Linked DNA regions of Rattus norvegicus. The protein of the gene in region 1 interacts with the protein of each later gene in a biochemical or structural test. Links are inferred from orthologs where the notes say so. Each region holds a gene or a part of one and is shown on either strand. Other genes may lie near its edges.

Region 1 (3,500 bases):
TGAACAGGTACAATTGAAGGTTTCACACTCGTCCTACACAGGAGAAGCTTTTCTGTGGTGATAAGTGCATGGGATGGGGTCAGTGGGACAGAGAAGGGCTTAGACCCTAGGGTGAGCAGGGGTCTCTCCTCGGGACAGTAGTAGTTAGGGCTCATTTGTCTGGGAAGTTGGTGACTTCTGAATCCAGATGGTGCCCTCAGGGCATGAAACCCCTTTCCCTTCAAACAGAAGAATAGGAAGGGAGAAGGAGAGGGAGAACGAACACAGGATGAACGAGAATTTAATCTGGGGCAGAATCAGTCCGTCTGGTAATTTAATGAGTGTCCTACTGTTGTAATTAGATGAAGTACCTTGGTGCAAGATGTGGTTCCAAACTTAAATTCCAATTAGGAAAAGGATGAGACATCTACCTGAAATCATAGGGCCATTAGAAATTAACCACAGTATTGATTATAAAAATGCCAGGAGTTGCTGGGTATGGTAGGCATGCCTTTGATCCCACCAAATATCTCTGTGAGTTGGAGGCCAACCTGGTCTACCTAGCTAGTTTCAGGCCAGCAGGGCCTACACAGTGAGGAGCTGTGTGTCTGTGTTTTTAAAAAGCAAGGGAGAGGTTAGGAAAGATGGCTGAGTCTGAGGAAGGGAGCTTGTTGCTATTCCAGTGTTTGTAGCTGCTTGGGAGCAGAGGGCAGCAAGAGCCTGCTCAGCTCAGGCGGCCTCTTGGGAGGAGCTCGCAACGGCATACTAGACACGGCTCTACATTGATTTATGTGGTTCTATTGAGCCTCATTTAGAATAAAGTGACAGGGGCTTCTGTAGCTCAGCATCTGCTCTCCTGACTATACCTAGTGTCAGGGAAGCTGGGCATCTGGATTCACAGATGCGCGTTCTAGATGGAATGAGCTATCTCCCCTTCGTGCTGTTCTCTGACTGGCACTCGGGAGAGGGAGGAAATGTGTGCAGCAGTCTGAGAATTGTATCCGAGTGCAAATGCGCTCTCTCTAAGTCTCGGGCTCCTGTGTGAACTGATGAGCACATATTGTGTTGATTTTCCCCCCATCTGCAGGAAGCTGAACATCAGAGGGCCATGCAGAGACGGGCTATCCGCGATGCCAAAACCCCTGACAAGATGAAAAAATCAAAGCCCATGAAGGAGGATAACAACCTCAGCCTCCAGGAGAAGAAAGAGAAGATCCAGACTGGCCTAAAGAAGCTAACGGAACTTGGGACGGTGGACCCAAAGAACAGATACCAGGAACTCATCAACGACATTGCTAAGGTACAGTGAGCAGTGGCGCTTGGCCTTATTTACAGATGCTTCGGGAGCGCTGAGGTACGGCCTCTGACTCTCACAGCAGGACTTCACTTCTGAGGTGGATATTTTTATGTGGTCTAAGTTAATGGGGTGCCAGCCTTCATTCACTAGAGTTTCTGGTGTCTGAGTTTCTCGTCACTCTTAAAGAATCCTCCAGACCGTTTGTTATGATTGCTGTGGGATATGTAAAGTTGGTAGTTGCATGATCAACTCGATTTGTTTGACTCACCCCAAGCCAGGGCTCAGGGTTCTACTGTGACTGAGGAACTTGGTTCTTTCTTTTACCTCCTCTCAGGGCAGTGTTTATGAGGTGTCCAGACCAGCTTTGCAAGTAAACCTAAGCACACAAAAATCAGGGCACATGCTTCCCCGTTGCTAGTGGATATAGGCCGATGAGATTGGAGTTTCTTTTAGGTTTCGAGCGCAGGCCGCCGCCTGGTAAGGTCGGCTGGCAGGTTTGAGCTCAGCGCAGACGCGCTGTAGTGGTCATGGACCATGGTGGTTCAGGAGGCACAGGCCGCCTGTCATCTTTTCCCTGATTGTCTTGGTTGTGCCTCAGGATATCCGGAATCAGCGGCGATACAGGCAGAGGAGGAAGGCTGAGCTGGTAAAGCTGCAGCAGACCTACTCGGCGCTGAACTCGAAGGCCACCTTTTACGGAGAGCAGGTGGATTACTACAAGAGCTACATCAAGACCTGCTTGGATAACTTGGCCAGCAAGGGCAAGTGAGTCTTCGTTTTCAGTCGTTCCAGGGCGGGAACCAGCGGGGTGGAGAGAAGAAGAAACAGCTTCTAGCATGACAAGAGAAGTGTTTTGATTTTTATTAAATTTCCTGTTGCTAATATGGGGAGGGAAGGGAGGGTGTGTGTGTGGGTGTCAAAGGACAATTCAAGAGTTTTTCCCTCTGTCTGCCATGGCTCCCAGGAACTGAACTCAGGTCTCCAGGCTCACTAGGGAAGTGCTTTACTGGCTAAGTCATATTGATGACTTGAGGTTGAATTTTTCTTTTCTTTCTTTTTTTCTTTTTTGAGATAGGATCTCACTGTCTCCCGATTGGTTGGGAACTCACTCTGTAGTCCAGGCTGGGCTCGAACTCAGATATCTGCCCGCCCCTGCTTCCCAGGTGCTGGGATTAAAGGTGTTGGTCACTGCTGCACCTGGCTGCCACTGAACTACAGCACCCAGGACCCACCTGCTGCATTACTTCTTGATTTTGCTTAGGATGTGTGCATAATGCCTGGCTCCGTTTGTTGTTGTGAGGACGTGGGGAGATGGGAGGAGCTTGGAGATGTTCATTGCTAAGCTCTTGTTCTCAAGTGTTAGTTCCGTCTAGGTGTTAGTGAATGGTGGAAGGGGGACGTCTAACTTGACTTCCAAATCTCCCCCTGAGCATGATGGTGCACACCTGAAGTTCCAGCATGTAGCAAGCCTGTCTCCAAACTGACCAACCTCGGAAAGATTTTATAGACCTCAGGCTCCCTGATGCCTGTGGGCAGGATCCTGGGCTGGTCACAAACCTGAGCCCGCCAGCCTTACACGGAAGAAATTGCAGACACCCAGCCTTTTCTGCTTAGAAATTTCAAAACTCAGAACGGTTGAAGAGCCCATGAGCCCTTTCCACAGAGTCACCAGAGTTTAAATTGAGCGTGCTGCACCCCTCCACTCTAGCTCAAGCATGCTCGTCCTCCCGGAGAGACGGGACTGCTGGAGAGGCCGAGTGCAGACTCCTGTACCCTTTAGAGTGTTCTGTCTGTCTTCTGTGCTCTCTGGCTTTCTGACACATATGTCAGGTTTAATTTGTAGTTTGCTCTGCTCAGGTCTAGAATGGTGATTTCACCAGGCCACCCTGACTTCATTTAGAAACCAAGATCTAGCTGTCCTCCTTGCCCCAGCTGACGTTTTTTTTAGGTCTTCTAGACAGATATAGTAGGTCTTCACTTTGAATGGCTGAATACTGTTTCATGAGACAGCTAGATAAGATGTTCTGTTAATCAGCGACCCATTGAGGAACGTTTGCTTAATCTTTAAAAACCAAACTAAAAAGCAAAACCGATGGTTGAAGTTGGAGAGATGGCACCGTGGTTAAAAGCACCGGCTGCTTTTCCAGACGACCCGGGTTCAATTCTCAGCACCCACTGGAGGCTCAGAGCTGTCTGTCACTGAAGCCCCAGGGAATCTGATGCC
Region 2 (3,500 bases), on another chromosome or scaffold:
ATAATTTTAATAATTTTCCAGTCCACATAAATAAGCCATAACTTTTGGGGAAAAGTAGCAAGTTTTTATTTTAAACCAAGTTGCATTGAACCTGTTGTCCATGGTTTTGAGCACTCACTTGGTAAGTAACACCTCAGTCAGAACTGTTAAATCATTTGGAGAATTCCCCAAGTACTTAGTTACCTAACCTGTATTCCCAGGAAGCAAAGGTCATTGTATTTTACCATATATTTTCTTTTTCTTTTCTTCTTTTTTTAAAATTTATTTATTTATTTATTTATTTATTTATTTATTTATTTATTTATTTAGAGTGCACTGTAGCTGTCTTCAGACACATCAGAAAGGGCATCAGATCTCATTACAGATGGTTGTGAGCCACCATGTGGTTGCTGGGAATCGAACTCAGGACCTCTGGAAGAGCAGTCAGTGCTCTTAACCACTGAGCCATCTCTCCAGCCCTAGCATATATTTTCCCTTTTTTTTCATATTTTTATTGGTTATTTTATTTATTTGCATATCAAGTATTATCCACCTTCTTAGTTTCCCCGTCACAAATCCCTTCTCCCCTTCTCCCACCCCTTGCCTCTTTGAGAGTGCTCCCCCACTGGCCCACCCACTCTTGCCTCAACGCCCTAGCATTCCCCTACACTGGGGCATCAAGCCTCCACAGGACCAAGGGGCTACCCTCCCCCCAGAGGATGCCAGATAAGGCCATCCTCTGCTACATATCCAGCTGGAGCCATGGGTCCCTCCATGTGTACTCTGTGGTTGATGGTTTAGTCCCTGGGAGCTTTGGGGGTCTGGTTGGTTGATATTGTTCTTCTTTCTATGAAATTGCAGACACCTTCAGCTTCTACAGTTCTTGCCCTTACTTCCCTATTGGGGTCCCCATGCTCAGTTCGATGTTTGCTGTATCTGCATCTGTATTGGTCAGGCTCTGGCAGAGCCTCTCAGGAGACAGCTGTATCAGGCTCCTGTCAGCAAGCACTTCTTGGCATCAGCAATAGTGTCTAGGTTTGGTGTCAGTAGATGGGATGGATCCCTAGGTGGGGCAGTCTCTGGATGGCTTTTCCTTCAGTCTCTGCTCAAACTTTGTCCCTGTATTTCCTTTTGACAGAAGGAATTCTGAATTATTATTTTTTAGGTGGATGGGTGGCCCCAGGGGCCATGCCTATCTACTAGATGTGGTCTTTATAGGTTCTCTCTCCCCTTTTTGGGTATTTCTCCTAATCCTCTCTGTTGGGTCCTGGGAACCTTTGGGGTCCATGGCATCTGGGACTTTGTAGTGGCTACCCCCAGATCCCCCTCTCCTACTGCTACATGCCTCCTTTCAAATTCCTGACCCTCTGTACTTGTCCCCCATCTCCTCCAGTATCTGAACCAGCCCCCCTTTTTCCCTCCCCTCCTTTCCCAGATTCCTTTCTCACTCTACCTCCAGAGATTATTTTCTTCCCCCTTCTGAGTAGGACTGTAGCATCCACACTTGGTGTGATCTTCCTTCTTCTTGGGTTTCATATGGTCTGTGAGTTGTATCGTGAGTATTCTGAGCTCAATTTTTGGCTAATATCTGCTTATCAGTGAGTATATTGAGTATATATATATACATATATATATATGTATATATATCATGAGTGTTCTTTTGTGATTGGGTTACCTCACTCAGGATGATATTTTCTAGTTCCATACATTTGCCTGTGAATTTCATGAAGTCATTGTTTTTAAGATCTGAGTAGTACTCCATAGTGTAAATGTACCACCTTTTTTTATCCATTCCTCTGTCGAGGGACATGTGGGTTGTTTAGCATATTATTTTCAAATAGTAGTATAGGAATATCACTGTTAGTTGCTTTGTGTGAGATTCAAGGATGTGTGTACCCATAGTCTGTGTTAAAAAGAAGAAAAGTAGTTTATTACTAGATAGTTAAATATAATTTATTTACAGTTTAATAATGATACAGATTTAAAATAATTAGCAAAAAAAAACAAGAATAAATATTTCATGTTTTGCAATTTGAAATTTTGGAGTAACAATTTCCTTTCAGGCGACGTGGCAGTGAAAATGCTGAATGTGACAGCACCCACACCTCAGCAGTTACAGGCCTTCAAAAACGAAGTCGGAGTACTCAGGTGAGTGTGTGCATCACCGCGTTCAGTGGCTTTACTCAAAGAAACATAATGTGCCTACTTGGAGTTTATGTTTACATTGTCTCCCTGATACTCAGTATAATTTGGTCCTGCATCTAGAAGACAAGACTGAATTAATGGAAATAAAAAATAATGCCTGATTGTGTATAATAGTTACTTTTAGGAAAATAGTACTCTAAAAATTCTAAATATATCAAAGCACATTTAAAAGTATATTTAGTCCTGGACCCTAGGACCTGAGGAACATTAGAAAATGAGAGTAAATCCATAAGAAAACTTATACAGGGAAGGTTCTATAGTTATAATTTTATGTGAGGGGAATATTCAACAAAACCGATATTTTAATCCAGAGAAGGCTATTGTATTCACAAGGGTGCATGGCTCCTCTGATACTGTGAAGGACAGAACAGAACAGGGAAGCTAGTTGTGGCGGTGAGAGGAAAATGATTTTACTTCCACTTAGAAAACGTCCTCATAAGTTTGGAACAACTTTAACAAATGAAAGTGACCTCTGCTTCTTCACTCGATAAATTTCTATATTTCTGAACAGAGTTGGAGGTTAGACTCAATAATTATAGGTCAGCCTTGCTTCGTTTTTGGTACGTTGTCCTGAGAGCATTGTATTGATTTAGCTCTCCTTAGAGAACTGTTACACATTGTCACATTTCTTTTTGCCAGGAAAACTCGACATGTGAACATCCTCCTTTTCATGGGCTATTCTACAAAGCCACAGCTGGCTATTGTTACACAGTGGTGTGAAGGCTCCAGCTTATATCACCATCTCCACATCATTGAGACCAAATTTGAGATGATCAAACTTATAGATATTGCACGGCAGACTGCACAGGGCATGGAGTAAGTTCAATGCTGTTAAATCTTCACAGCGCTCTTGAAATCCACTTACGGATACGTTAAAGGTCCTAATAATACATCTATGGGCTGCTTACTAGGTTTCTGTGCAAAGGTACTAACTACTAGAGAGCACTCACATACTAAAAACACTGTTTCTCTAGCTCAGCCTTTGAAGTATACAGAAGTGAGGTGTTTGATGAGAAGTTTATAATTGCAAATGATGATTAGCACTCAGTGGTTTATGTGAACAGTGGAAGTACAGAAAATTAGGAACCAGAAAAGCCACACTCCTACTAAAACAGAGCCATTAATAGTTATTTGTTAATCATTTTTAAAGTGTGACTATTTTTTGTTGCTTTTAAATCATTTTCTTTTACATGCCTACATTTTCTACCGTAAGGCCAGTTGATAAAGTTTTAAATGAATATCTATATTTTAATTCTTGTTGAGGACTTTAAGTTGAAACAGGTATATCTACTGAAGTTTACTTTGTAACCCAAAAG
Region 3 (3,500 bases), on another chromosome or scaffold:
CCTGCATATGAGCATAGGCTGTCTTTCCATTTCTTGGGGCTTGTTATGTTCAGCAGTTTTTCGCTGTTTTTATTTTGTGACTCTTATCTTTGGTTAATTTCTAAGTATTTTATTCTTCTTACATACCTTTCATTCTTCCAAGTTCATTTTTTCTAGGCCATTCCAGTTACAGAGTGGCTTTAACATGCACGTGTGGACCAAGCCTTGCGCTTGGCTTGGGCATTATTATGGATGCCTTCAGTACAGTACTTATTAGTGGGCTTGCTGTGATCATTATGTAGCCAGAAGTAGGTATGATATTTTTAAACCACACCTGTGGCAATAGTTTATTGTTGTTATATTATTACTGAGTTATAGAACTAAAAAAAGTAAAAAGAAAATATGTCAGTTTTCCTTTGTAAGTTATTGGTATATATAAATAGAATTAGCACAGAAAGTGTTGTCCAAACAGTATGTTACTAAGCCGTAGCTTTGTCACTAATGGCTCATATGCTAAGAGCTACACACTCGAAGTGTTGTCAGAGCTGTAGTTTTCCTCCCCCCTTCTTCTTTGAAACAAGAACCTTACTATGTAGTTTTGGCTGTCTCAGAGCTGTCTTTGTGGACCAGGCTGACCTCAGACTTGTGGTGATCTCCTGCCTCTCCTTCCTGTGTGCTGGGTTTATGGGCATCGCCCATATCTCCATATTCTTTTTCCTTTTAAATTACATTTATTTATTTATGTGGAAGCACATGCCATAGTATACATATGTGGAGGTCAAGAAGCTAAATTTGGGAGAGTTGGTTTTTTTCCTTTCACCATCTGTTCCCTGGAGACTGAGTTCAGGTTGTTAGGCATGGCAGCCACCATCCTTACCACTGAGTGATCTTGCTAGCTCCACTATGCTCGTCTTTAATTTTTTTTTTTTTTTTTTTTTTTTTTTTGATATATGATCTCATGGTTACACTTAACCTTCCTGCCTGCGTCTCACTAGTGCTGAGATTATAGGCTTGTGCCAACCATGCCTGGTTTTAATGTGGTATGGGGATTGAATCCAGGGCTGTATGCATGCTAGGTTATCACTCTATGTACTAAAGAGCTATAGCTGTAGGCCTTGACTATAATTTTAATGCCACAAGGATACCAGATTTCAGTTGCTGACCTCTTTAACTTTTTCTTTAGGGCAAGAGGATTATGACAGACTACGACCGTTAAGTTATCCACAGACAGATGTTTTTCTAGTATGTTTCTCAGTGGTCTCTCCATCCTCATTTGAAAATGTGAAAGAAAAGGTAAGTCAGGTCCTGCCTCCTTCAAACCTGCACAGAATTTCTGTTACCCTTTTATAGTGTCAGTGGCTTGTAGATTAACAGCATTTTAAAACCTTGTTTTTAGTGGGTGCCTGAGATAACTCACCACTGTCCAAAGACTCCTTTCTTGCTTGTCGGGACCCAAATTGATCTCAGAGATGACCCTTCTACTATTGAGAAACTTGCCAAGAACAAACAGAAGCCTATTACTCCAGAGACTGCTGAAAAGCTGGCGCGGGATCTGAAGGCTGTCAAGTATGTGGAGTGTTCCGCCCTCACACAGGTAAGGGCTCTGCAACCCATGTCTCTGTGTAGTCAGTTGTTTGGAGCATGAGGATACAGAGGCTCTTCTCCTTTTATTATTTTTTCCCTTAAAAATTTGTCTGTGAATGTATACTGTGTGAGTGTAGTGGGGTGGGATGGGGTGGGTAGGGCTTCTGAGCTGGAGAAGTTTAGGGTAAGAAGTGGGTGAGGAGAGCTAGGACACCAGCATGGACTCTGAAATGTGGAACAGAGCCTGGAGGCCAGGATGCACTTGGTTATGCTAATAAGTACCAAAGGTAGCCGTTTGTCTCTTCTGCCAGTAATAAGGAAATGGTTTCCTGAGGAGCGAGGGCTTTTATCCGACTGTCACAATTTGGCCCTGACATTCCAGCCTTTCGTTTGTGATAGGGGCAATGTAGCTACTTCTTAGCTGAAATTAAGGGCTCAGGGACACTGGGATGCCTGGTTAAGGCTGGGAGGTAAGGGAGGTTAGGGTGCTGTGAGCAGTCTGGAATGCTGGGCCAAAGCAAGTGCTCAAGTCAGACAGTTTATATCGGCTCTCAGAAAGTTCAGGGCTTGCTGATTGTAAAGGACCACCTGAGGCTGGCATGTTTGGAGCAGTTTACATTCTTCCCTTGATTGGAAATCGGTGGGAACAGATACAGACTAAGAACAGAATGTAAAGATGAGGAGCTTAGGGGAAAATCTTCATCTAGGGTTTACACCTAAAACTTCCAGGCCTGCGGTCCTGGTAGTTGGGTGGGTATGATGGTGAAGGGAGTCTAAGAACAGGGAAGGAGAGAGTCTACTCTCAAGAGATAGGCAGTAGGGGTTGGGGATTTAGCTCAGTGGTAGAGCACTTGCCTAGCAAGCGCAAGGCCCTGGGTTCGGTCCCCAGCTCCGGAAAAAAAAGAGAAAAGAGATAGGCAGTAATAGGCAGGAACACTGAAACTGTTGATTATCGGGAATACTTAATTTGGAGCCTGTTTGACCTGTGACAGGTGGATCTGAGTGTCAATTTCTTAAAGCTTATGTGAATTTTACAAAGTTCACAAAAAGGTAAAAGTTGTAGATAATTGGCATTACTGCTATTTGTAATCTGCAGTGAAGTCCCCATTGTAGAAAAAGCAGTGTCTGTAAGCCAGAGATATTTTCAGCACAGTGAGAAACACGTTTAAATGTATATTTAGAAGACCAAAAGAAAGTAAAAATTTTGAGCCTGTGCCTATTATTAGAGTAGTCAGTGCTCTATCAGGGCTAGATCAATAGTTTATCAGAGCTCCATTGTTTAATGTTACAACTTTGAAGTTTTGAAGTCTTAATATAACAATAGCATAGTGAGCAGGAAAGAAATCTGAAACGTTTCTCACTTTTCACATGCCTTAAATCACTTCCTCATATCTTTCCAGATTACATCTACACACTTTAAATCACTTTAATAGACTCTCCAACTTAGTTAAGTGTTCATATCCTAGGAACTTTTTTTTTTTAAAGATTTATTTTATTCATGTGAGTACACTGTAGCTGTCTTCAGACACACCAGAAGAGGGCATCGGATCTCTTTACAGATGGTTGTGAGCCACCATGTGGTTGCTGGGAATTGAACTCAGGACCTCTGGAAGAGCAGTCGGGTGCTCTTAACTGCTGAGCCATCTCTCCAGCCCCCTCCTCGGAACTTTTTAATTTGCATCTGTACACTTTTTTTCACTTTTTTTTTTTGGAGCTCAGGACTGAACCCAGGGCCTTGCGCTTGATAAACAAGCACTCTACCGCTGAGCTAAATCCCCAACCCATGTACACTTTAAATTACTTTCTTAGACCCCTACAAATTACATTATCATTCACATCCTCACACCTTTACAGCTTGCACTTACTGGGGTTACAGAAGTTGGGAACCACCTTTAATGTTGCTGGGAATGGAACTCCAGCTCTCTGGAAGAGAGGGA

What was found. The genes of interacting proteins can lie anywhere in the genome.
Region 2: the proteins of Iqgap1 (region 1) and Braf form a complex in vitro, tested with the Homo sapiens proteins (2 studies listed by BioGRID and IntAct). The link is inferred for Rattus norvegicus from reciprocal best matches to the Homo sapiens genes IQGAP1 and BRAF.
Region 3: the proteins of Iqgap1 (region 1) and Cdc42 form a complex in vitro, tested with the Homo sapiens proteins (6 studies listed by BioGRID and IntAct). The link is inferred for Rattus norvegicus from reciprocal best matches to the Homo sapiens genes IQGAP1 and CDC42.

The regions. Positions count from the first base shown.
Region 1 is NC_086019.1:144,098,954-144,102,453, reverse strand, and holds part of Iqgap1 (ras GTPase-activating-like protein IQGAP1), read left to right. Parts: coding exon 1-7; intron 8-1,066; coding exon 1,067-1,279; intron 1,280-1,874; coding exon 1,875-2,041; intron 2,042-3,500. UniProt on the Homo sapiens protein: Plays a crucial role in regulating the dynamics and assembly of the actin cytoskeleton.
Region 2 is NC_086022.1:69,382,932-69,386,431, reverse strand, and holds part of Braf (serine/threonine-protein kinase B-raf), read left to right. Parts: intron 1-2,042; coding exon 2,043-2,127; intron 2,128-2,823; coding exon 2,824-3,000; intron 3,001-3,500. UniProt on the Homo sapiens protein: Protein kinase involved in the transduction of mitogenic signals from the cell membrane to the nucleus. Phosphorylates MAP2K1, and thereby activates the MAP kinase signal transduction pathway. Phosphorylates PFKFB2.
Region 3 is NC_086023.1:154,849,012-154,852,511, reverse strand, and holds part of Cdc42 (cell division control protein 42 homolog), read left to right. Parts: intron 1-1,162; coding exon 1,163-1,272; intron 1,273-1,375; coding exon 1,376-1,573; intron 1,574-3,500. UniProt on the Homo sapiens protein: Plasma membrane-associated small GTPase which cycles between an active GTP-bound and an inactive GDP-bound state. In active state binds to a variety of effector proteins to regulate cellular responses. Involved in epithelial cell polarization processes.